Linked DNA regions of Oryctolagus cuniculus. The protein of the gene in region 4 purifies or fractionates together with the protein of the main gene of each other region. This does not show direct contact. Links are inferred from orthologs where the notes say so. Each region holds a gene or a part of one and is shown on either strand. Other genes may lie near its edges.

Region 1 (4,049 bases), on a different chromosome or scaffold from region 4:
GCCACAGCACCAGCCCCGGAACGGGAAAGTTTAACTATCTGTAACTCATACTCAGTCTTGGAAGAGTTTTATTATTATTATTATTAACTTATGGAAATAACAGAGATACGTAAAAGTGGAGGGAATAAAAAATAGTATGATGAGGTCCCAAGTCCTCATCACCCAGCTTCAACAATTATCAACTCTGCCTCATTCCTTACCCTACTGGATTATTTTCAAGCAAATCCTAGACATATAGTTTCTTTAAATATTTAACTATTACAGATAGAGTCTTTTTAAGGATAATATAACCTTAGGAGCACTTTCACATTAAAATAACAAAAAAAATCTGGGGGCAGTCATTGTGGTGCAACAGGTTAAGCCTCTGCTACAATCTGCATCCCATCTCAGAGCACCTGTTTGTGTCCCAGCTACTCTGCACTTCCTATCCAGCTTCCTGCTAACATGCCTGGGAGGCAGCAGATGAAGTCTCAACTGCTTGGGCCTTTGCTACCCATGTTCGAGAACCAAATGGAGCTCCTTGCTTTGGCCTGGCCCAGCCCCAGCTGTTGCAGGCATTTGGGGAGTGACCCAGCAGACAGAAGATCTCGATCTCTGTGTGTGTGTGTGTGTGTGTGTGTGTGTGTGTCACTCCCTCTCTGTCACTCTTTCAAGTTAAAAAAAAAAAAATTAAGCCTAACAAATAGGGCCAGTGTTGTGGCGTAGCAGGTAAAGCCACCACCTGCAGTGCCAGCATCCCATATGGGTGCTGGTTCAAATCCCAGCTGCTCCACTTCCAATCCAGCTCCCTGCTAATGTACCTGGGAAAGCAATGGAACATAGCCCAAGTGCTTGGGCCCCTGCACCAATGTAAGAGACTCAGAAGAAACTCCTGGCTCCTGGCTTCAGTCCGGCCCAGCCCTGGTTGTTGCAGCTATTTGGGGAGTGAACTAGCAGATGGACGGTCTCTGTCCCTCCCTCTCTGTCTCTACAACTCTGCTTTTCAGATAAATAAAATAAATCTTTTTTTAAAAAGCCTAACAATTTTTAACACCCTGTCCACTTAGTGTTCAGATTTTTCCAATTATTTTATCAATATCTTTTTTAATAGGATCTACACTGGGCCCCCAAACTGTATTTGCCTGAAATGTCTCCTTTAAAAAAAGATTTATTTATTTAATTTGAAAGGCAGAGTTACAGAAAGAGAAGGAGAGAGAGGGAGAGAGAGGGAGAGAGAGATTGATTGATCTTCCATCCATTGGTTTACTCCCCAAACGACCACAACTGCTGGAGCTTGGCTGATCCGAATCTGGGAGCCAGGAGCTTCTTCCAGTTCTCCCACATAGGCACCAGAGGCCCAAGTACTTGGGCCATCTTCTGCTGCTTTCCCAGACATATATGCAGGGAGCTGGACTGGAAGTAGAGCAGCTGGGACTCTAGCTCTGATATGGGATGCTGGCACTCTAGGCAGTGGCTGTAGCTGCTGTGCCACAATGGCAGCCCTGCCCTCTCTTTCAAGATTTTATTTGAAAGGCAGTGACAGAGAAAAAGAAAGATCTTCCACCCACTGATTGACTCGCTCAGACGCCCACAAGCCGGGAGCCAGGAACGCCATGCAGGTCTCCCAGATGTGTGGCAAGAATCCGAGTACCTAACTTTCCTAAATCAGGGAGGAAGGGAGAGGAAGGCACATGGAATTTTTGGTTGAATTCTTAAAAAGGACTGTAAGTTTTCCAGTATTATACTGTGGAACCAAACATATTACTTGAACTGAGAGAATACATGAGGACTTTCTTGAGGCTTATTTGGGAATCTCAGATCTAAAGTGCCACCTGCTGAGGTGTTATACCTGAATCAGAAACAGATGTCTGGGCAAGCTACATAGCATCTGAGCTCCTAATTCCAGGGATGCATCCACTTAAGAGGTTTCACCTTTACTACTGTTATTCCTAAACATTTTCTCTTTTTTTTTCCTAAATATTTTCTGGTGTGGTGGTGCATTTTATAGTCAGTTTACTTATGGGAAGAAGAGATAGGCAATAGCTAAGGTTTCTAAGTTTTTAAAAAAATAAGCTAATTAGTTCATGTTGAGATGGTTAAGAAAATCAGGTAGTACAGGTCTCAAAAATTTACCCTAGGCATATGAAATACCACTTATGAAATGGTTGCTTTACTCTGGAGACAAGAGAAAGGAAATGGACAGCTGTTATGCACCATGCCCTCATTTTGGGTTTTCAGTGCCCTGTTTTGGGTATATATTAATACATGCCTTATGGCTCTGCAAATCCCACGTAAAAGTTTAGTAGCAATGTTGTAATATTAACATATTTCATTTTACTTCAGGATCGCCCAGCAATGCAGCTTTACCAACCAGGAGCTCGAAGCCGAAATCGACTCTGTCCCCCTGACGACAGCACCAAGTCTGGAGATTCAGCAATAGACAAAAAGCAGGAAAGTGGTATTAGCCATAGAAAAGAAGGGGGAGAGGAGTGATAAGTCCAAATGGTCCTAGATATCCTGACTGTCCAGGCCGCCAAAGAGCACGTATTGAGCAATCCAGAAGCGCCCTCAGGGCAAAGGAATAGAGAGAAAGAAAGGATGTCGCTGTGCTGGTGAGGTGCACTGCAGAGGAGTATGTTTAGCGGTAAAGCAGGAATCTGATTGCAGGCTCAGAATTGGAAAGTACAATTTCATTGTTTTTGTGTTTTCTACAAATTAACTTTAAAGTGCCAGAAAAAGACGATGGTGAGGACATGTGTTGCAATTTGCAGGCGGGAAATGTCAAGTGAGGACTTAACTATGTGTGACACAAGCAAAAAAAAAAAAAAAAAAAAAAAAAAAAAAAGGAGAGCTGGCTCTAAAAAGATGTTGTTAATCCTGGCTTGAATTTTCTTAGTTTGAGTGGAGCAGAGTCACTTTGAACTCTTGTTCAGATCGTTATCTTGCATTGTTGTTGATAACTGTTGACTTTGTATAGTGTAGAAGCAACAAGCATGTAATTGTAATACAAGTACAGTGAAGGATTTAACAAATTTTCACTGCAAAAATCGAACTAGTCATCTTATAGCTATACCCTATGTCCTAAAAGTTAAGGATTAGTTTTGTTTGCTTATGTGAGCTTGGCATGAGGAATATTTTTAAACATCTCATTCTGCCTTTAGCAGTTTTTCTACTAGTAGGTAAAATGTAGTCCTTGTTTGGTTCTTGACAATCCAGTCTTTGTTTTACCTTAGGTCTCATAATCTGAGAGCATACCCTCTCCAGGAAGGAAACTGCACACAAATATCTGTTCCTGTTAAGTAACAGCTTCAAGTCTTAACTTGTTTTGTGCTGATGTCAATAAATATCAACAGCACTCAAATGTGACACTGTGTGTTTATTAACTTAACTAAATAGCTATTAGTTTTAAGAAAATAAGCTTTTGACTTGAGAATTTTAAAAGGGGATGAATGCTCATAGTTTCTGCCTTCACTAGCATTCTGTCTTTGTTTTGTTCACTAGGGAGTGGATTAAATCCTGGTTCACTGGTGTTGTTCCATAAGAAGCAAGATGTCTGACAACATCCTTAAGCTGCTGCTTGATTTCCACCCTGCCAGGCCCTCCTAACAGGGCTCATTTTGCCTTTATTTGGTAACACTGCTTTATGTTCCCTCAGCTTTTTTTTTAATACTGCTTTCTAGAAGACATGATTAGGTTTTCTTTAGATTTATTTATTTATTTGAAAGAATTACAGAGGCAGAGCGAGAACAAAAGAGAGAGAGTCTTCCATCCACTGGTTCACTCCCCAGATGACCACAACAGCCAGAGCTGCACCAATCCAAAGCCAGGAGCCAGGAGCTTCTTCTGGGTCTCCCACGTGGGTGCAGGGGCCCGAGGACATGGCCCATCTCCCACTGCTTTCCCAGGCCATAGCACAGAGCTGCATCGGAAGTGGAGCAGCTGGAACTTGAACTGGTGCCTACATGGGATGCCGGCACTGCAGGCGGTGGCTTTACCAGATACGCCATAGCACCAGCCCCTCCCTCAGCTTTTGGAAACCAGTATCCCGAGGCAGATAGAAGAAGAGCCAC
Region 2 (4,788 bases), on a different chromosome or scaffold from region 4:
CACAGCAGAGAGCTGGACTGGAAGAGAAGCAACCGGGACTAGAACCCGGCGCCCCGACTGGGACTAGAGTCTGGGATGCTGGTGCCTCAGGGTGGAGGATCAGCCAAGTGAGCCGCGGCACCGGCCTCCCAGAATCTTAAATCAGCAGTGGGCAGACAGGCGGAGACGAGGAAGCTGGCCGAAGCTCTCCCCCATCTGTGGATGGAAAGGCACCAAGAGGTGCTCCCGAGGATGATGATGAAGTTCCACATTTCGTGGAGAGTTTTGATGAGCCTTCTAAGAATGAGGCAAAATGAATGGTCAATTTTTAAGATTTATTTATTTGGTAGGCAGAGTTATAGAGAGGAGAGACCAAGACCTTGCATCCACTGGTTCACTCCCCAAGTGGTCCCAGTGGCTGGAGCTGGGCCAAGGTGAAGTCAAAAGCCAAGAGCTCCTTTTGCATCTCCCACGTGGGTGGCAGGGGCCCAAGGACTTGGCCATCCTCCGCTGGGAGCTGGATCTGAAGCAGAGCAGCTGGGACTCCAACCTGTGCCCTCATCGGATTGCAGGCACTATAGATGCAGCTTAACCTGCTGCACCGCAGCACCAGCCCCTGCAGTGAACTTTTGAAGAAAAGTTCCTGGGAGCTGCTGTTTTATATTATGACTGCTTATAAAAATTGTTCTGTTTATGATCAGATAAAATCTAGATTTCTCACATTTGTAAGCTCAGGGCAGCTCTTTCAGTTTTTGCTTATGGAGTTCATTCTTTGCTGCTAATTAAGCTGAAGAAGCCTGGGAATAAAGTTTGAAATAAAGATTAATAAAATTCCTTGCAGAGTACAAATACATAATTTACATATGAATTAATCAAGTGCTGCCTGTAATTTATAAAGCAAAAATACACTAGTGTGAGTCTGGTTTTGGTGTTGTCCCAGTAATCAAGAGCATGAGTGGATTATGAATTTTGCTGGTGAACTGACTCAATACCGGTGCATGGGGCCTGGCTGTTGGCTGCTCTACTGACTGCCTGGCCCACAGGTGAGGGCACTGCAGCAAGTGCGTTCCCCCCACAGGTAAATCGCACAGCAGAACGAAGGTGCACTGTGGTGCTGCTTGACAAACACCAGCTTCCTCAACTGTGTCTGCGAGAACGGAACGGTGGTATCATAGTATTGTGTTATGTTCTGTACTGTCATACCAAGTATTGTACTAAGTATAGCATTGTAGTACTATACTGAGTATTCCGTACAACCACTTTATGTAGTATTGTAGTCCTGAGTACTAAGTTGTAGTTTTGTAACATTGCAAGTATTCTATTTTACACTCATTGTTCCAAGTATTATAGTAAGTATTCTGCCCCGAGCAGCGTATCAAAGTGCCCTGTACTGAACATGGCAGTGTGTGCTACCACAGTATTTTCCAAGAATTGTGGTATTCTCTGCTAAGTATTGTAGTATTCTGTATTAAGTACCACATTAAGTATATTTCTTGTAGTAGCGTAGTATTCTATACTACGCATTCTAGTATCGTAGTTACCTAGTACTGTATTCTGCAGTAAGTGTCGCACTGTTTTCTGTATTAAACACCACAGCGTTTTGTACTAAGTACGGCAGTGTCGTGGTAGTCTTGCGGTAGGTGTTCTGTAGGGTCGCACCAGGCACTCCTCAGGGACTGCGCGCGCGCACAGCGCCCCACCGGGGCTCTGCCCGAGCCTCCGATTGCCCCTCCCCGGCAGCTGACCGGAACAGCCTGTGAGCCGCAGGCGCGCGCCCAGGTGACCGCGGCGCCGAGTTCTCGCGAGGTTTCGGCGGCGGGCGCGCGGCGGCGGCGGCCCCGCGGCGGGTACGACCTGCGCTCCGCGGGGCCGAGGCCGGAGGGCGGCCGTTGCTGTGCGGGGCCGGAGTGCGAAGGAGGCGTCCGGACGAGAGCCATGGAGATCCCGTTCCGACGAGAGCTCGGGACGCCGCCAGCCTCGTCCTCCGGCTGCGGGAGCGGCGCGGGCAGAGCTCGCGAGGAGAAGAGGGCCGCGCTCAGCAAGGTGGGGCGGGGCGGGGCGGGGGCGCGGCGCGGAGGGCCGGCGCCTGCGGGGCGCCTGCGGGGCGCGGGCCCTGACGGCCGGCTCGGTCCGCAGGTGGTGGTGCGGCGGCTCCCGCCCGGCCTCACCAAGCGGCAGCTGGAGGAGCAGCTGCGCCCGCTGCCCGCGCACGACTACTTCGAGCTTTTCTCGGCGGACCTCAGGTGAGGGCGGGAGGTGGCCGGGGCCTCCGCACCTGCTGCCGGCGCGCCCGTCCCTGCCGCGGGGCTGCTGGCCGTGTGCGCCTCCGGTGCTTCGTCTGTGCGGCCTGTAAAAGCGAATCGCGTTGAGACTCTGCCGAGTGAGTGGCAGACGTGCGTGAGCTGGTTCGGACCCAGCAGGAGACAGGCAGGGTGCCCTGTGCTGCAGCCCCTGTCATTACCGTGTATTGATAGGAATGCCAGTTCAAGGAAAGCATCGTTAGCAGGTGAATGACGTCCAGAACGACTGGCGGATATGCGAGGACCGGCGTTGGGCGCAGGATCTTGGCCTGGGGTCCCAGGCCGGTCTTGAGCTGACCGCTCCTGAGGGCCCTGATTCCCCGGAGCTGCAGAGCTCTGTGGGAGGGGCTGGAAGTCGCCGCCTGCGCAGAATGTTGGTGACCGTGGCATAGGGGAGGACGCTTAGTTCTCTGTGTGGACCCCATCCATGGGCCACCATAAATACTTTATTCTTAAGAATTTTATTTATTTTATGTGAAAGGCAGTTAGCCCTTCCATCCCTCTGGTTCACTCCCCAGATCGCTGCAGCGGCTGGGGCTGGGCCAGGCCGAAGCCAGGAGCTTTTTCTGGGTCTCCCACCTGGAGCAGGGTTCCAGGCACTTGGGCTGTCTTTGACTGCTTCCCGAGGCTGTTAGCAGGGAGCTGGCATTGCAGGCAGCGGCTTAATTTACTATGCCTCAACACTGGCCCCCATAAGTACTTTTAAAAAAAAGCAAATCTAAATATTATCCGGATTAACGCGGAGTCCCTCTTACAGTATACATTTTCTTGAATGAGCCATGAGTTACACAGCATCCTGGTCGTCTGTGTTCAGAACACTTGCCTTTGTTTTTTCAACCTCTGAGGACCAGGATTCTAACTCTGACATTGCAGAGAAGCTGGCCTAAGACATCTCTTTCTGGCTGATTACAAGGATCTCAGTTAGTGGTTTTTGGTTTGTTTGTTGCTAAAGAATATCCAAATTGCTGTAATTAACCGGGAGATGGTTTTTTGGCATAAGCAAATGAAGGAAAGGGGACCCTGTGTTTGTACTAAGCGGTAAGCGGTTTTCCTGTTGTATCTTGTTTCAGTCTGTGTCCTCACCTCTACTCGAGAGCATACATCAATTTTAGGAATCCTGATGACATCCTTCTTTTCCGAGATCGTTTTGATGGATTTATCTTCATTGACAGCAAAGGTTTATCACTGTTTTCAACTCTTACAGTCTCGAAGTACAACAATGGGCTTGGGTGTAATTTTTGTGAGTTTTAGTTAGTTCTCAGAGACTAATCTAAAATAAGATATTGTGAGTATATTGTGATTGGGTGCTACTCTTAAAGTTGTAAATCATAATTTAGTCTATGTAATGGCGACAACTTGTGTATTATTGTTAGAGTGAAGTTTTTCTATATTTTATCCTTCTTTCATATAGATTTTCTGAATCTGAGTGTGTGTCTTCCTAACAGCACTGTTCATCCTTCACCCCTTCTCGGTAATGTCGCGGGGAGGGGTTGTGACCCTGAGCTCCAGTCAGGCCTGCGTGGATGACAAGATTTGTCCTGCTCTGTGTGGGTTCAATCCCCTGTACCTTCTGGTTATGCCTTTGATGTCCACTCCTCCTTCCCTGTTGGACTGCCAGGTGTGGCTTCTTTGCTGTCAAGTCTGAATCCGTCTTAGAGCAATTTGTCTCACTCATCAGGCACCCTCTCCCTCTCCTCCCACCCTCCGTGTGAATCAGTGTGTCCTTCTCCACTGAGGGTGATGGATAAACAAGATTGTCAGAGTGGCTGAGCTGGGGGCCAGGTCAAAATCTGTTTGACATTTGTGTTGGCTTGTTTATTTGTTCAACTGTCTTTTATTTACTTTTCAAAAAATATTGAAGTGGGGTAGGAATTGAGGTGCAGTGGGGTAAGCTGCTGCTTGTGATGCTGGCATGCTGTATGGAACACCGGTTCAAATTCAGGCTGCTCTGTTTCTGCTCCAACTCCCTGCTATCCACCGGGGAAGGCAGCAGGTGATGACCGGGTACTTGGGCCCCTGTCACCCACATGGAGACCAGGAAAGATTCCAGACTCTTAGCTTGGCCTAGCTCAGCCCTGGCTGTTGTGGGCATTTGGGGAGTGAACTAGCAGATGCAGCATATCTCCCTCTGCCCCTCTCTCCCTTTCTCCCCTCCCTTTTTCTGTCACTCTGCCTTTCAAATAAATATCTTATTTAAGCATTGGCAGATAGATATAACAAAGTCTGTTATCTTACCGTTTTTGTAAGAGTGCAGTTCCCTAGTGTTGAGTGTGATCTCCTCGAGCAGCCGTCTCCAGGACTCCTTCCATCTCGTAGCACTGAAACTACACATGCGCCCCACCCCTGGCAGCCGCCATTCTGCTGTATGCTCTGTGAATCTGACTCCTCTGGGTACCTCGAGTTGGTGGAATCATGTGTTGTCGTTTCGTGACTGCCTTATTTTACTTAGCTTAATGCCCTCAGGTTTGCCCATGTTGCAGCATATTGCAGAGTTTCATTCCCTTTTCAG
Region 3 (4,695 bases), on a different chromosome or scaffold from region 4:
CCCCTGATCAAGCTTCAATGAAAACCCACAAGAATGAAATAACAATGTTACAAGTCAAACTAGAAACTGTTCAGGACAGAAATTTGAAAATTACGTAACAATAGCAAATATTTATAATACTTCTAGGAGAGATCTCCTTTTAAACAAGAAAAATATGAACACTTATTTTGATTTCACACTAGTCACAAAACTTAAGATTCCACTCATAATTACTAACAATGTGCTGTTTGTAAATAGAGCAGATGGGGACTCTGGAAAACAATTCTACAAAGATTCTGAAATCAAACATCCTTCGCTTAATACTTACTGAGACGGCATTTATTTACACAACCAGCTAAAGAAACTTTGGGAAGCTTCATGGTGCATTACTGTGGTTTAACTTTGACACAAAGCTCCTGCCTATTTAAAGGGGCCTAGCAGGTAGGTCTCCACCAACAAAGGGATAGGAAATCTGTCTTTCTGATGGCTCTTCAATTAGTCTTTCATGGCTCAAGAGTTACTTTTGCACACAGAGAAGCAAGGCCACATTTGGGATTTGACTTTGAGAGCGGGACAGCACTGATCAAAACTAGCTCAGCTGCTAGTCTTTTCCCCACTGCACAGTAACCAAGTAATCTGTTCAGAGATGAGAAGCCAAGCAAACAAAATGACAACTGATTCTTTTAAAAGCACATTTTAGGAGCATTCTGGTAAAAGTCAAAATCTCTAACACTGTGATACGATGTTTAAGATTTGCTTCAAAACAATACAGTTTGGGGGAGGAGGTACAAGACTGCTCTTAACTGTAAGTTAATCATTGTCAGAGCTGGGGCTCTCACACTGGAGCCGGGGTTGCCTGCCCCTCGGCCGAGGGCCAAGGAGGCAGCACATGATGGAGCACGCAGTCCCCGACACCCACGTGGCAGCCTGGCCCAGGCCCAGCTGTGCGTGCGGCACCTGCGGAGTGAACCAGCGGATGGAAGCTATTTTTTTAAAAAAAACTGCCGAAGTTGAGCGACAAACACAATACCTAAGTCGTCTAGTCAATTTTCATGTATTTTCCACAGTGAAAAGTTTAAAAACAGCTTTATGTTACCCACTGCAATATTAAAACTTCCCTAGCACAACTTACCACAAGGTAGCAGAAAACATGCTTTTTACTGTTTGCAGAGTTGTCTGTTTAGCTGTTTTTAAAACGTCAAATTTTAAATCAGAAGCAATGTGACACTGTGTCAGAAAATTCTAGAAAAACCTAACAAGGAAGCCACTTTGCATTGAGAGATGTAAATCAAAACATTTTCATTTCTCTAAGGAAACGGACTAAGACAAGCCGAGGTCTAGGCGGACGTCTGCGGCGCGCACACTCCGTTTTCTCTGTCCTAACTCGAAGCTGAGCACCTCGGCGGCCGCAGCTCCCCAAGGACCGGCACAGCCGCACCACGCAGCCCAGCATTAGCAGAACTCGGTGCGCCCGTCCCCAGACGGCCAAACCGCTGCCTCCACACCCCGGCTGTATTTTTAGTTTCTGCTTCAACAAGTAGCAACGTAAGCAGAGGTCCCTTCCTGCAAAACCGTACTTCGACTCCGTCCGCCCGCTTCTAAACAAAAACACGCGCAGCACGGCAGCGCGACCCCAAAGCCCTCCGCACGGCCAGAGAACAGGGGCAGGCGGCTGGGACGCGCATCTGCGCGCGAACAGCCGAGAGCCTGCACCCACGCCGACGCGGCAAGGCAGGGGCACGGCCCCGACCCCGAGGACAGGCACGCTCGCCCAGCGCCGTCCGTCCACCGCCCTCGGCCCCGAGGACAGGCACGCTCGCCCAGCGCCGTCTGTCCACCGCCCGCGGCCCCGGCCCCGAGGACAGGCACGCTCGCCCAGCGCCGTCCGTCCACCGCCCCCGGCCCCGGCCCGAGGACAGGCACGCTCGCCCAGCGCCGTCCGTCCACCGCCCCCGGCCCCGACCCCGGCCCGAGGACAGGCACGCTCGCCCAGCGCCGTCCGTCCACCGCCCCCGGCCCCGGCCCGAGGACAGGCACGCTCGCCCAGCGCCGTCCGTCCACCGCCCCCGGCCCCGGCCCCGGCCCGAGGACAAGCACGTCGCCCGGCGCAGGGGCAGCGGCTGCCAGCAACTTTCCTAGAGGCGGGACGACCACGGGGAAGGCGGACCCGCGGCTGGCGCGCAGGGGGTCCGGCCCGGGCTCGCCCCCTTCCAGCCCTGAGCCCAAAACAATGCCCCCGGCGCCGGCGGGGGCCACGCCGAACACCGCTGCCTCCCCCACTCGCGCACGGGCAGCGAGGCAGCTAGGTAGGTCAACTTCTGTCCACTCGCCCCACTAAATTACACCTTCCTATCACGCCAATCAATCATGCAGGCGGTTTATTGGGGACACGCTGTGGGTCTGGCGCTCCGATAAGCGCTTCACACGCCCCATTTCCCCGAACCTCCGCAGCCAGAAAGCGGCAGGACGGTCTCGGCGCCCCTCTCCCCAGCCCACACAAAGAGTTGAAGGGGCCGCGCCGGGGCCGGACACCTGGGCCGTGCCCGCCGCACGACGCGGACGCTCCGGACCCCGAGGGCTGGAGAGGGGACACCACCAGCCCGGCAGGAACTTCGCTGTCCCCGCGCGCCCGCCCAGCGCAGGGCGCCAGGCACCTGTTCCCGGCCCCGGCGAGAAAGCGGCGGCGGGGCTGGGGGCGCCGGAGGACCCGCCTCTCCCCCACCCCGGGCAGGCCCCGCGGGCGGGACGCAGGCCCGGGCCGGGGGGAGGAGGCCGGCGCGCGGCCCGCCGAGGCCTAGGCCCCACCCGCCGCCCGCCGCCCGCCGCCCCCCGCCCCGTGGCCGCCGCGCCCGCGCGGGCCCCGCCGCGCTCGGCCGGCCGCCTCACCTGGCTGCTGCCCTCAGCTCGCCCCTCGGCCGGCGGTCCTGGGCGGCGGCGGCGGCAGTGGTGGCGGCGACGAGGGGAAGGAGGAAGGAAGAGGGAGAGGAGGAAGGGACGGCGGGTGGGAAGAGGCGGAGTGGCTGCGGAGGAGGCGGGCGCCGCCGCCGGGCCGGGGGGTCCAAGAAGCGGGGAAGCCGAGAGAAGAAGCGACGGCGGCCGGCGCAAACGCTGAGGAGCCGCTCCGGCGCCCGCAGCCCGGCAGGAAGTGACGGGGGAGGGGCCGGCGCCCGCCCCCGGCCCCCGCCCGCCTCCAGGCCCGGCCCCACCCCCACCCGCGGCCCAAACCACAAGTCCCGGCGGGCGCTGCGGCGGGGCCGGCGCCCGCAAGGCACACCGGGAGCCGGCAGGCGGGGCCTGGTCGCGGCGAGGTGGCCGCCGCCCGCCCTGGGCCAGCGGCCTGCTGGGAGTTGTAGTTCTGCCGGGCCCCGAGCGGGAAGGCGGAGCGCGTGCCTTCTGGCCTCCCGCACTTCCTTCTTCCTTCTCTCAGTCCGTCCTCTCGTCTCGCAGGTGTCGTTCCCTTCGCTCCCGCCCTCAGGGCCTCCTTCCTCCGCCATGTGCGAGGCGCTGCCCCGAGAGCTAAGAACGGAACGGACAAACGCCCGTGCCCTCATGGAGCTTACGTTCCAGTGCGGATAAAAGGCGCGAATAAAATCATTAACTTGCTAGGTGCACTGAAAGGCAAGATAGGGGCCGGCGCCGAGGGGAGCGGTCAGGCACCTGCGATGGCAGACTCTCTCCTTCAAATAAATAAAGCTTAAAAAAACAAACGAAAAGATGATGTGGCTGTGCGCGTTAGGACCCCAGGGCTCCGCCTATCACTTCCAGGCCGACTTTCTTCTGTTTCCGTACACTGACAGCAAGTGCCCACTCTAACAGAAACAGCAGTGTAATTTTAGATGAGAGCCAACTTTTCACGGGGACTTTATGCGCTCTGCCCATTCCTATATAACTTATCTTGCGGGAAGGAGCAGGCAGAATTTGGAGTAACATCTCCAGTGCTCAGTTTCTTATTTCCATCTTCATCCTGAAACAAAGAAAAATAATTCCTTAATTACTTGGCAACAGCCCAGAAGACTTGAGGCCTTTGGGAAAAAAGATGTGACTGCCAGTCCCTAAGTACAAAAAGAAAAACACGTCTAAGGCTCCCCTCCCACACCCAGCAGCCCCACGACGAACCTGTGCCTTGGTTAACACAGTGGTCCTCAAATGAGCGCTGTGGAGTGACTGTTCGCGCTGTTTTCCTCTTCTTCCTCTCTGTCTTTGGTTTTGTTAGTTTTTAACGGCTGAACAATTTCAACACATAGTAACCTGGCTTTGTGACCTCTCTCCAAAAATGAGGTGGCCAGGCAGCATCGGAGAGCAACAGTCCAGCCACACTTGGGCTCCCACAGCCCACATCAGGGGGCCTGGGTTCGAGTCAGCTCTGCTCCTGCTCTACCTCCCAGCTAACGCACCGCGGGTCATAGCTCCAGCACCTGCGTCTTTACCACCCAGCTGGGAAACCCAGGTGGACTTCCTGGTTCCCGGCTTCAGCCTGGCTGTTGTGGGCATTTGTGGAGTAAACCAGCAAAAGAAGAATCTCTCTCTCCCTCTCCCTCTCTCTCTCTCTCTCTCTCTCTTTCTCTCTCTCTCTTCCTCGATAAAATGAAAACAAAAACATTTTTAAATTTTGGGGGATGCAGCTAACACAATACTTAGAGGGAAAGTTGTAGCAATTAACGTTTAATTTAGAAGAGCAGAAAGTCTCAAATCAATTATGTTTCCACCTTAAGAAAC
Region 4 (4,793 bases):
CCGATGGCAGGAGCCAGGTGCTTCTCCTGGTCTCCCATGGGGTGCAGGGCCCAAGCACTTGGGCCATCCTCCACTGCACTCCCGGGCCACAGCAGAGAGCTGGCCTGGAAGAGGGGCAACCAGGACAGAACCCGGCACCCATATGGGATGCCAGCGCCTCAGGCAAGGATTAACCAAGTGAGCCACAGTGCCGGCCTTTTTTCTTTTTATAGGATTGACTTATTGGGGGCCGGTGCTGTGGCACAGCGGGTTAATGCCCTAACCTGCAGTGCCGGCATCCCATATGGGCTACAGTTCTAGTCCCGGCTGCTCCACTTCCAATCCAGCTCTCTGCTATGGCCTGCGAAGGCAGTGGAAGATGACCCAAGTGCTTGGGCCCCTGCACCCCCATGGGAGTCCAGGAGGAAGCTCCTGGCTCCTGGCTTCGGATCAGCGCAGCGCCGGCTGTTGCGGCCAATTGGGGAGTGAACCAGCGGATGGTTCTCTCTCTATTTCTCTCTACCTTTTCTGTAACTCTGTCAAATAAATAAATATTAAAGCAAAAATTGACTCATTTATTTGAAAGAGAGAGAGAGAGAGAGAGAGATCTCCCATCCACTGGTTCACTCCCCAATTGGCCACAACAGCCGGAGCTGCGCCGATCTGAAGCCAGGAGCCAGGAGCCCCATCCGGGTCTCCCACGCGGGTGCAGGGGTCCAAGCACCTGGCCCACCCCCCACTGCTTTCCCAGGCCACTGCAGAGAGCTGGATGGGAAGCGGTGCAGCTGGGGCTCGAACCGGTATCCTTATGGAAGTTGGCGTTGCCGGCAGCTTTACCCGCCATGCCACCGCGCCGGCCCCTTGCCACGTTTCTGCTTTCTGTGCACCTTAGGTCTTTTTTGATCAGCTCCTCCTTAGCTTCTGGTGTGTCAAACAGGGCAGGGGTGCGCTCTGCACACTGTCACAGGTGTACCCGCCCGCCCGGCTGATCAACTCTCCCGGATCAGCGGGGCGCTCCCAGGGCTGCGCTCACTGCTGGCTCGCGGGCTTCCGCCTCCAGTCGGGTCTTTCCGTGGGGCCACACTGAGCGTCCCAGCCCGAGGTCCCTGTATGTGAATTTGGAAACTCTCCAGGCACCGTGTTGAGACCGGGGGCGCCAGGGCTCAGCCGGGTCCCCCACGTGGCGGTGGCAGCGGCCCAGGTTCTTGTCACCTGCTGCCTTCCGGGGTGTGGACGCGCAGGGGGCTGGGGTCGGGAGTGCAGCGGGGACTCGAACCCAGGCAATAGCAGAGAGCTGGATCGGAAGTGGGGCAGCCGGGACTCGAACCCGCGACTATCTGGGATGCCGGCACTGCAGGCGGCGGCTTCACCTGCCACGCCACAGCGCCGGCTCCAAGGCAGCATCTTAACCACTATATCCAGCAGCAGCCACCCCCAAGACTCCCTGGCAACCTTAGTGAGCACCAGCTGTATACAGCAATCTTGTCCGTGCTGGAACCACCGTGCTGCACAAAGCCAAGCGCCCCCCCACGCCCGCACAGCTCCGCGGGCCCTCCCACGCCCGCACAGCCCCGCGGCCCGGAGACTCCGAGCAGCGGTTGGGGCGGGGCCGAGGCCGGAGCGCCCGCCGCGGCGGCCGTTGGAAGCCCCGCCCCTCCGCGCGTGCGCACCAGGCGTCCCGCCGGCCCGCTCGGCTCGGGGCGTCTGTGGGCGGGCCTGGCGGGAGACCGCGAGGAGCGCGCGCGCCTGCGCCGGCGTCGGCCTCGCGCACGCGCACCTGCGCCGGCGTCGGGCTCGCGCACGCGCACGGCGGCAGCGGCGGCGGCGGCGGTTCCTGCCGGGGGCTGCGAGTGGCGGGCGGCTCCGAGGGGCGGCAGCGGCGGCTCCGAGGGGCGCTCGGCGGCGGCGGCGGCGGCGGCTTCGCGCTCACGGGCGGCGGCCAGGCTCGCTGCGGGGCGGGCGGCGCGGCCGGGCCGGGCACGCGGCGGCGGCGGCGAGGCGGCCCGAGGCCTGCGGCCTAGGCCTCGGCGCGGCAGCGAGCTCGAGTAGGCGCGGAGCCGGCGGCGCCATGAGCGTGGAGGCGTACGGGCCCAGCTCGCAGACGCTCACCTTCCTGGACACGGAGGAGGCCGAGCTGCTCGGCGCCGACACACAGGGCTCCGAGTTCGAGTTCACCGACTTCACCCTCCCCAGCCAGACCCAGACGCCCCCCGGCGGCCCCGGCGGCCCCGGCGGCGCGGGGGGCCCGGGCGGCGCGGGCGCGGGCGCTGCGGCCGGACAGCTGGACGCGCAGGTGAGCGAGCGGCACATGGCGGCGCCGGAAGCCCGGGCCCGGACCCCCCCACACCTGGCCGGGGGTCGCGGCGATCCCGCGGGGGCTCCCGGCGGGGCGGCTGGGTGTGGGTGCTGCTGGGGCCAGGCGGCCGGGGGGCCCTCCGTTCGCTTCCGGGTGGCCCGGACCTGCGGTTGGGGGGGGGTGGGCGACTGCTCGGGCCGGCTCGGGGCCCCCCGCCCGCGCCCGGGGGGTCTCGGCGCCCGCGCAGTGGCGCGCGCCCGGCCGCGCGTGGCAAAGTTGGGATTTCGGGGCGCGCGAGTGGAGGGGCCGCGGCGGTGGTTCAGGGGGCGGGTCGCTGGTGTTTCCTGCCCGCGCTGCCGCCTGTTGGCGAAACCAACCTGTTACGTAAGCCGGCGGCCCTGCCCGCCCGGCGAAGTTGGGGCTGAGTTGGGTCCGGCCCGGAGCGCGGAGCCGGCTTCTCCGGGGAAGGGGCCGCTCGCTCGGGCGCTTCCCGTTGGGGGACGTAGCCCGCGCGTGCTTGGCCTGGGCTTGAGCCTGGGGCGCGGGGGGCGCAGGTGCTGGCTGGGGGGTCCTGCGGAGTCGCCACCACGTCCGTCCTCTGGGTCTCCGACGGCGGCCCCCCGGACCCCGACCCCGACCCCGACCCCCGGCGAGTTTTCCGGAATCCTGGGAGGCTCGCCTGGCGCGCAGGTGCTGCCGGGCACAGCCTGGGGCTCTGGCGCCCCCTCCCCCACCGTCCCGCCCCGGGGAGCCCCGGCCCCCTCGTGGGCGGGGGGCTTGTGGGCTACGTGGCTGAGTCAGCGGCGTGGGCTCGTCACCCACTTGGGCTTTCTTTTCTTCGCGGCCAGAAGCAGCAGACGTTTGACTCATGCGAACCCCGACTTCCTTGAAATAGAATGCGGCAGGGGGCGGGGCGCGCAGGTGCGCCAGGACAGGTCCCCCCCCCACCCCCAGTCTTGTTTACCTTGGTGGGAGGGAGGCCGGGAGAGGTGCGCGTCTGCGGGAAGGGACGGGTGGCGGTGGGCCCTCCCGCCGCCGTGAGATGGGGTGGGGGCGGGAGCCCTGGGCCCGCGTGCGAGCGGGGTGGGGGTGCATCTGGCGGCTGGGGACGGAGGTGACTGTCACGGAGCCGCTCTGGGTGGCTTTGTGGGCAGGGGAGGGGCAGGGTCTGGGCGCCGGCTGGCTCGGGATGAGGACCTGGCCCTCGGGCCGCGTGGGGGGAGCGCGGGTGACACCCACGCAGCGGGGGAGTGTCGATCCTCGGGGAGCGAGAAGGCGGCGGCCGAGGCCTGGGGCCCTGGGACGTGGGGGGCATTTTTCTTTTTTTTATAAGTTGGTTTTCATTTATTTGAAAGGCGGAAAGGGAGGGCTCTTTCAACGGCTGGTTCGCTCCCCAGTGCCCGCGAGAGGAAGGTCCGGGCCAGGCCGAAGCCCGGAGCTGGGACCCCAGGCTGGGTCTCGGGGGTGCGGGCCCCTGCTGTCTGCTGTGGTCGCGTGTCCACTCTCCACTCCCCAGACGGCTGCAGCAGCCAGGGCCGGGCCCCCTCTAGTCTCCGCGCAGGTGCAGCGGCCGAGCACTGGCGCTGTCACCTGCAGGGAGCGCCCCCGGGAGTGGCAGCGCCAGCGCCGGGCCCGGCCCCCCGCGGGTGTGCCCGCCCGGGAAGGTCCTACTTGTCCCTGGGAGTTGGCGGTGCCGTCCGCGTGCGCCGGGGACCTGGAGAAGGGTTCCAGCCTCCCGGCCTGTCTCTGGGTTGTTGAGGTTGAGCGTCACCTTGGGACCAGGGTGCGCTGGCTCCTGGGTGGTTGGAGGGGGTGGTTGTAGGCGCGGGGTGAGTACCGGGGGCTGCAGCCCAAGACCGAGTGGGAGACTCGTCTGTGTTCCCGTACACACAGCCTGATGGCTTCTCTGTTCTTTAAGACTCATTTATTTATTAGAAAGGCAGCTTTACACGGAGAAGCTGAGAGAGAGAAGTCTTCCAGCTGCGGTTCGCTCCCCGGATGGCCGCAGTGGCTGGAGCTGCGCTGATCTAGAGCCGGGAGCCGGGAGCTTCCGGGTCTCCCACGTGGGTGCAGGCGCCCCAGCACTTGGCCCATCCTCCGCTGCCTCCCAGGTGCAGCAGCAGGGAGCTGGATCGGAACAGGAGCAGCCGGGACTCGAACTGGCGCCCATAGGGGATGCGGGCACTGCAGGCCCAGTGCGGGCCCAGCCTGAAGGCTCTGCAACAACTGTGGGACAGACAGTCTCCTGGGGCGGAGCTTTGCACTGTGGCTCCTGTCGGGCCCAGGAGACCCAGGTTCTGGGGCGCCTGTTAGTTTCAGGTGAGGGGCACCTGACCGTGCGCCAGCCGCGGGGCGTCCTCCCGGCTCTGGGCGTGCCTGTCTGGACTTGCGTGCCAGCGGCCGCGCCGTCGGGCGTCCTGCGTAAGTGTCGAGGGCGTGGCCGCAGCGCGGCGGCCGCTGGGACGGGGAGGAGCCCGGCCGTGCCAGGTTTGCCCAGGGGGCGACCTCACCGCGAGGC
Region 5 (4,049 bases), on a different chromosome or scaffold from region 4:
AAGTTCATAACAATGCGTATTGTGACAAAACCACATAAGGATTTCAAAACATTTTTGCACCAAAATTATCTTTCAGTTCCATTTTCCATGAAGTCTTCTTATATTATCTGAAGTTCCTAGAATTTGAGGGTAATTACGCATGTGGATTTCCTTCCACTAACCTAGAGAAGACCAAAAGTACCTGTAGCCTGTCTTCAGTTTGTCCCATTCCTTACTACTGTTTTAGTTGTTAGGTAACAAGTTTGGTTACAGTGATTTGCCAGAGGTTTCTTTTAACTAAGTGGTGTGATTTGTTTTTCAGTCTGCTCCGTCTGGACACAAACATCTGACGGTAGAAGAGCTATTCGGAACCTCTTTGCCAAAGGAACAGCCCGCAGTCATGGGTCTGGATTCAGAAGAAGTGGAGAAGCTGCCGGGAGAGGCCTCCCAGAAAGAACCCAGCTCCTTCCTTCCATTCCCCTTTGAGCAAGCAGGAGGAGGCCTTCCATCAGAAAACCCGGGTGTCCATTCTGCTGCCCACCACTCAGTCCAGCCAGAAGTCCCCACCCCGGTGCTAATCACCCCAGCCTCCATCACACACTCCAGTGAAAAGCATGCCCCAAGCTACACAATCCCATTGAGCCCCGTTCTCAGCCCCACTCTGCCAGGTGACGCCCCTGCTGCGCAGGTTCCCCCCAGCCTGTCTCGAAACAGCACTATGATGCAAGCAGTGAAGACCACGCCTAGACAGAGGTCTCCACTGCTGAACCAGCCTGTCTCTGAGCTAAGCCACAGCAGTCTGATTGCCAGCCAGAGTCCCTTCAGAGCCCCACTGAGCGTGACAAACCCAGCTGGAGCATCCCTCCCAAGCGTTGATCTTCTGCATAAACTCAGGTTGACTCCACAGCATGACCAAATACAGACGCAGACACTTGGGAAAGGAGCAGTGGCACCCACCCTGTGCCCAGCAGCTGGCCAGCTGGCCACACCTGAGAGCTTCATCGAGCCTCCCTCTAAGACCGCGGCAGCGAGAGCAGCAGCCTCAGCCTCCTTGAGCAACATGGTGCTTGCTCCCCTTCAGGTAGTGGCAACAGAGGCGGGGTGGGCAGGGTGGGTAACTGATTGGATGAGACTAACTGCAAAGACCTTGATTTTTACTGATGTGAGACAGGATAGTTTGAAAGAATTATCTCTAAAGGAAACCAAGGACCAGGAGAAAGGGGAAGGAGAATCCCCCCCACCCCGTGACCAACCAAGTAATTACTAGACAATGGTGTAACTCAGTTTCACTTTCCAGAATTATCCCACTGATAACAGATAAAAAAACCACGTTTATATTGCCTAAGTATGCACTATAGGATTTTTTTTTCATCTGTCTTGCTTTTTGTTTTTTAGATTATTTATTTGAAAGTAGAGCAACAGAGAGAGATCGTCCATCCACTAGTTCACTACCTAGATGCCAGATAGCCTCAACAGCCAGGTCTGGATCAGGTCAAAGCTGGGAGACTGGAACTCCATTCTGGTCTCCCACACAGAGGGCAGGGGCCCAAGCACTTGGGCTATCTTCTGCTGCCTTCCCAGGTGTATTAGCAGGGTGCTGGATCAGAAGTGGAGCAGCCAGAATTCAAAGCAGCCCTTCAATATGGAATGCTGGAGTCCCAAGTGGCAACTTAACCCACTGCACCACAGTGCCAGCCCCTGTCTGTCTTGGTTCAGGGTCAGGAAGATCCCCAGATTATCCTGAACTTAGTTCCCATTCCCAGCTCCCTCAGTACTTTGTTTTCAGAGCCTGGGAAGTCTCTGAGCAGAGTGAGGTGCCATGAAGGAAGAGGGCGGCACTCGGGTTAGAGCTGGCAGGGCCTGGATCAAGAAGTGTGTGCATGTGGATATGTTGAGATGTCTCATCAGTGGGACTCAGTGGTAGATCAGGTGTAGAGGAAAAACAGATTTATCCCTCACAGTAATTCATAAGTGTGGGATATGCAAACGAGAAAACCAGATTGGGTGATTTGTGCAAGGTCACGGAACTGGAATAGTATAAAACCTGCTACTCTGCATCAGTACTGAGTCCCTATAGGACCTTTAATAATGCCCTTTAATAATAGTGATAGGAACCGGTGCTGTGACATGGTGGGTAAAGCTGCCACCTGTGGTGCCGGCATCTCATTTGAGCATCAGTTTGAGTCTCAGCTGTTGTACCTCTGATCCTTCCCCTACGAATGTGCCTGGGAAAGCAGCAAGGGATGGCCCAAGTGCTTGGGGCCCTTCACCTACGTGGGAGACCCAGAAGACACTCCTGGCTCCTGGCTTCAGACTGGCTCAGGCTCTGGCCATTGTGGCCATTTGGAGAGTGAACCAGCAGAAGGAAGATCTCTTTCATGCTCTCGCTTGCTCACTCTCTAACTCTGCCTTTCAAATAAATAATCAAATCTGTAACAATGATGATAATCCCCAATCTTAACATTGTACCAAATAATGTATGGAAAAGCCCATCATGGTTGCTATGTATTATTTCTTAACTTTTTTGTTCCATTCCTTTGAAATCTTGTAGTGATAGAGGGGAAACTTAGGGTCTTGGTAGCATTTATATTGTCTTCCTCCAGCCCTTTCTCTGTGTTACAGAGAGGAGAGAATATTCTGTTAAACAGACATGCCTGCTACCACTGCTGCAGGATTCAAGAAACACAACAGCAGTCCTTTTTATCCCTAAGACTTACCTAAGGGCCAGTGCTGAGGCATAGCAGGTAAAGCCACTGCATATGGTGCTAGCATCCCATATGGGTGCTGGTTCAAGTCCCAGCAGCTCTACTTCCAATCCAGGACTCTGCTATGGCCTGGGAAAGCAGTAGACGTTGACCCAGATCCTTGGGCCCCTGCACCCATTTAGGAGACCTAGAAGTTCCTGTCTCCTGGCTTTGGATCAGCCCAGCTCCAGCCGTTGCAACCGTCTGGGTAATGAATCAGCAAATGGAAGATCTTTCTCTCTCTCTCTCTCTCTCTTTCTTTCTTTCTCTCTCTCTCTCTCTCTCTCTCTCTCTCTCTCTCTCTCTCTCTCTCTCCTCTCCCCCTCTCCCCCTCTCTCCCTCTCACTCTACCTCTGCAATTCCACATTTCAAATAAATTATAAATCTGTTTAAAGAAAATGTGCCACTGTGGCTAGAGGAACCATTCTGGAAAAAAAAAAAAAAAAGACCTTTCTATTTATGAATTGATTGATTGATTTGAAAGGATGATAGGGAGAAACAGATCTTCCATCTGCTGTTTCAATCCCTAAGTGTCCTCAACAAGCTGGGCCAGGGCTGAGCTAAAACCAGGAGCCAGAAACTCCACCTTGGTCTGCCATGTGGGTACAGGGGTCCAGGCATGCAGGGTGTTGTAGTGGAAGTGAAGACCAGGGTGAGAACTGGCACTCTGATACAGGATGCCAATGTGGTAAGTGGCAGTCTAACCCACTGCACCACAATGCCAGCCCCACACCAGCATTCTTGGACACTGCCCTCTGCAGCCTGGAGATAGCACCCTGCCCTAGCCTCCTTCTTGGCAGGGCATGCTTCCCTGCGTATAAATTTCCATTTACACAGCAGTAAATACAAAGACCAGGGCTTCATAGAGTTCTCATGTCTTTGCTCTACAAGTTGTCTCTCTCCAATGAATGAGGAAAAACTGCATGTGAAAGGCTGACTCTGGGTAGCAGCTGTTCAGTACTACCTGTCCAGGTTTAAACAGCCTGTTACCAGGTGTCATGCTGCCAACATCTGTCATTTTTACAGACTCAACAGCAAAAATACGCCTGCACAGCTCCCAACTCTGAGATACAGGTTTCTGCTTTGTTCCTTAGGGACTACTTAAGCACACCTTTCATCGGGGGAACTGCAGGGGGAGGTTGAGTCATTGTCACAGTCCTGTCAGCCTCTTCCCTTGGGAATCTGAGACCTGGTTAATGGCTTAGCCATTTCTTGTTGCTAAAATAGATTTTTTTTTACCAGTAATCAGGAAATTTCACTGAAACCTGCCATATCTATTTATCTCTTCTTTTGAAACATTTCAGTCTATGCAGCAAAACCAGGATC

The links.
Region 1: the proteins of UPF1 (region 4) and UPF3B purify together in Homo sapiens (co-immunoprecipitation; 16 studies listed by BioGRID and IntAct, with this or other methods). This does not show direct contact. The link is inferred for Oryctolagus cuniculus from reciprocal best matches to the Homo sapiens genes UPF1 and UPF3B.
Region 2: the proteins of UPF1 (region 4) and UPF3A purify together in Homo sapiens (affinity purification with western blotting; 5 studies listed by BioGRID and IntAct, with this or other methods). This does not show direct contact. The link is inferred for Oryctolagus cuniculus from reciprocal best matches to the Homo sapiens genes UPF1 and UPF3A.
Region 3: the proteins of UPF1 (region 4) and STAU1 purify together in Homo sapiens (affinity purification with mass spectrometry; 7 studies listed by BioGRID and IntAct, with this or other methods). This does not show direct contact. The link is inferred for Oryctolagus cuniculus from reciprocal best matches to the Homo sapiens genes UPF1 and STAU1.
Region 5: the proteins of UPF1 (region 4) and DCP1A purify together in Homo sapiens (co-immunoprecipitation; 4 studies listed by BioGRID and IntAct, with this or other methods). This does not show direct contact. The link is inferred for Oryctolagus cuniculus from reciprocal best matches to the Homo sapiens genes UPF1 and DCP1A.

The regions. Positions count from the first base shown.
Region 1 is NC_091453.1:73,257,463-73,261,511, forward strand, and holds the end of UPF3B (regulator of nonsense transcripts 3B), read left to right. Parts: intron 1-2,322; coding exon 2,323-2,472; 3' UTR 2,473-3,340; downstream 3,341-4,049. UniProt on the Homo sapiens protein: Involved in nonsense-mediated decay (NMD) of mRNAs containing premature stop codons by associating with the nuclear exon junction complex (EJC) and serving as link between the EJC core and NMD machinery.
Region 2 is NC_091440.1:57,917-62,704, reverse strand, and holds the start of UPF3A (regulator of nonsense transcripts 3A), read left to right. Parts: upstream 1-1,609; 5' UTR 1,610-1,914; coding exon 1,915-2,022; intron 2,023-2,115; coding exon 2,116-2,222; intron 2,223-3,349; coding exon 3,350-3,456; intron 3,457-4,788. UniProt on the Homo sapiens protein: Involved in nonsense-mediated decay (NMD) of mRNAs containing premature stop codons by associating with the nuclear exon junction complex (EJC) and serving as link between the EJC core and NMD machinery.
Region 3 is NC_091442.1:11,270,505-11,275,199, reverse strand, and holds the start of STAU1 (double-stranded RNA-binding protein Staufen homolog 1), read right to left. Parts: upstream 3,127-4,695; 5' UTR 2,866-3,126; intron 1-2,865. UniProt on the Homo sapiens protein: Binds double-stranded RNA (regardless of the sequence) and tubulin.
Region 4 is NC_091447.1:65,846,443-65,851,235, forward strand, and holds the start of UPF1 (regulator of nonsense transcripts 1), read left to right. Parts: upstream 1-1,795; 5' UTR 1,796-2,047; coding exon 2,048-2,272; intron 2,273-4,793. UniProt on the Homo sapiens protein: RNA-dependent helicase required for nonsense-mediated decay (NMD) of aberrant mRNAs containing premature stop codons and modulates the expression level of normal mRNAs.
Region 5 is NC_091441.1:96,540,652-96,544,700, forward strand, and holds part of DCP1A (mRNA-decapping enzyme 1A), read left to right. Parts: intron 1-301; coding exon 302-1,060; intron 1,061-4,027; coding exon 4,028-4,049. UniProt on the Homo sapiens protein: Necessary for the degradation of mRNAs, both in normal mRNA turnover and in nonsense-mediated mRNA decay. Removes the 7-methyl guanine cap structure from mRNA molecules, yielding a 5'-phosphorylated mRNA fragment and 7m-GDP.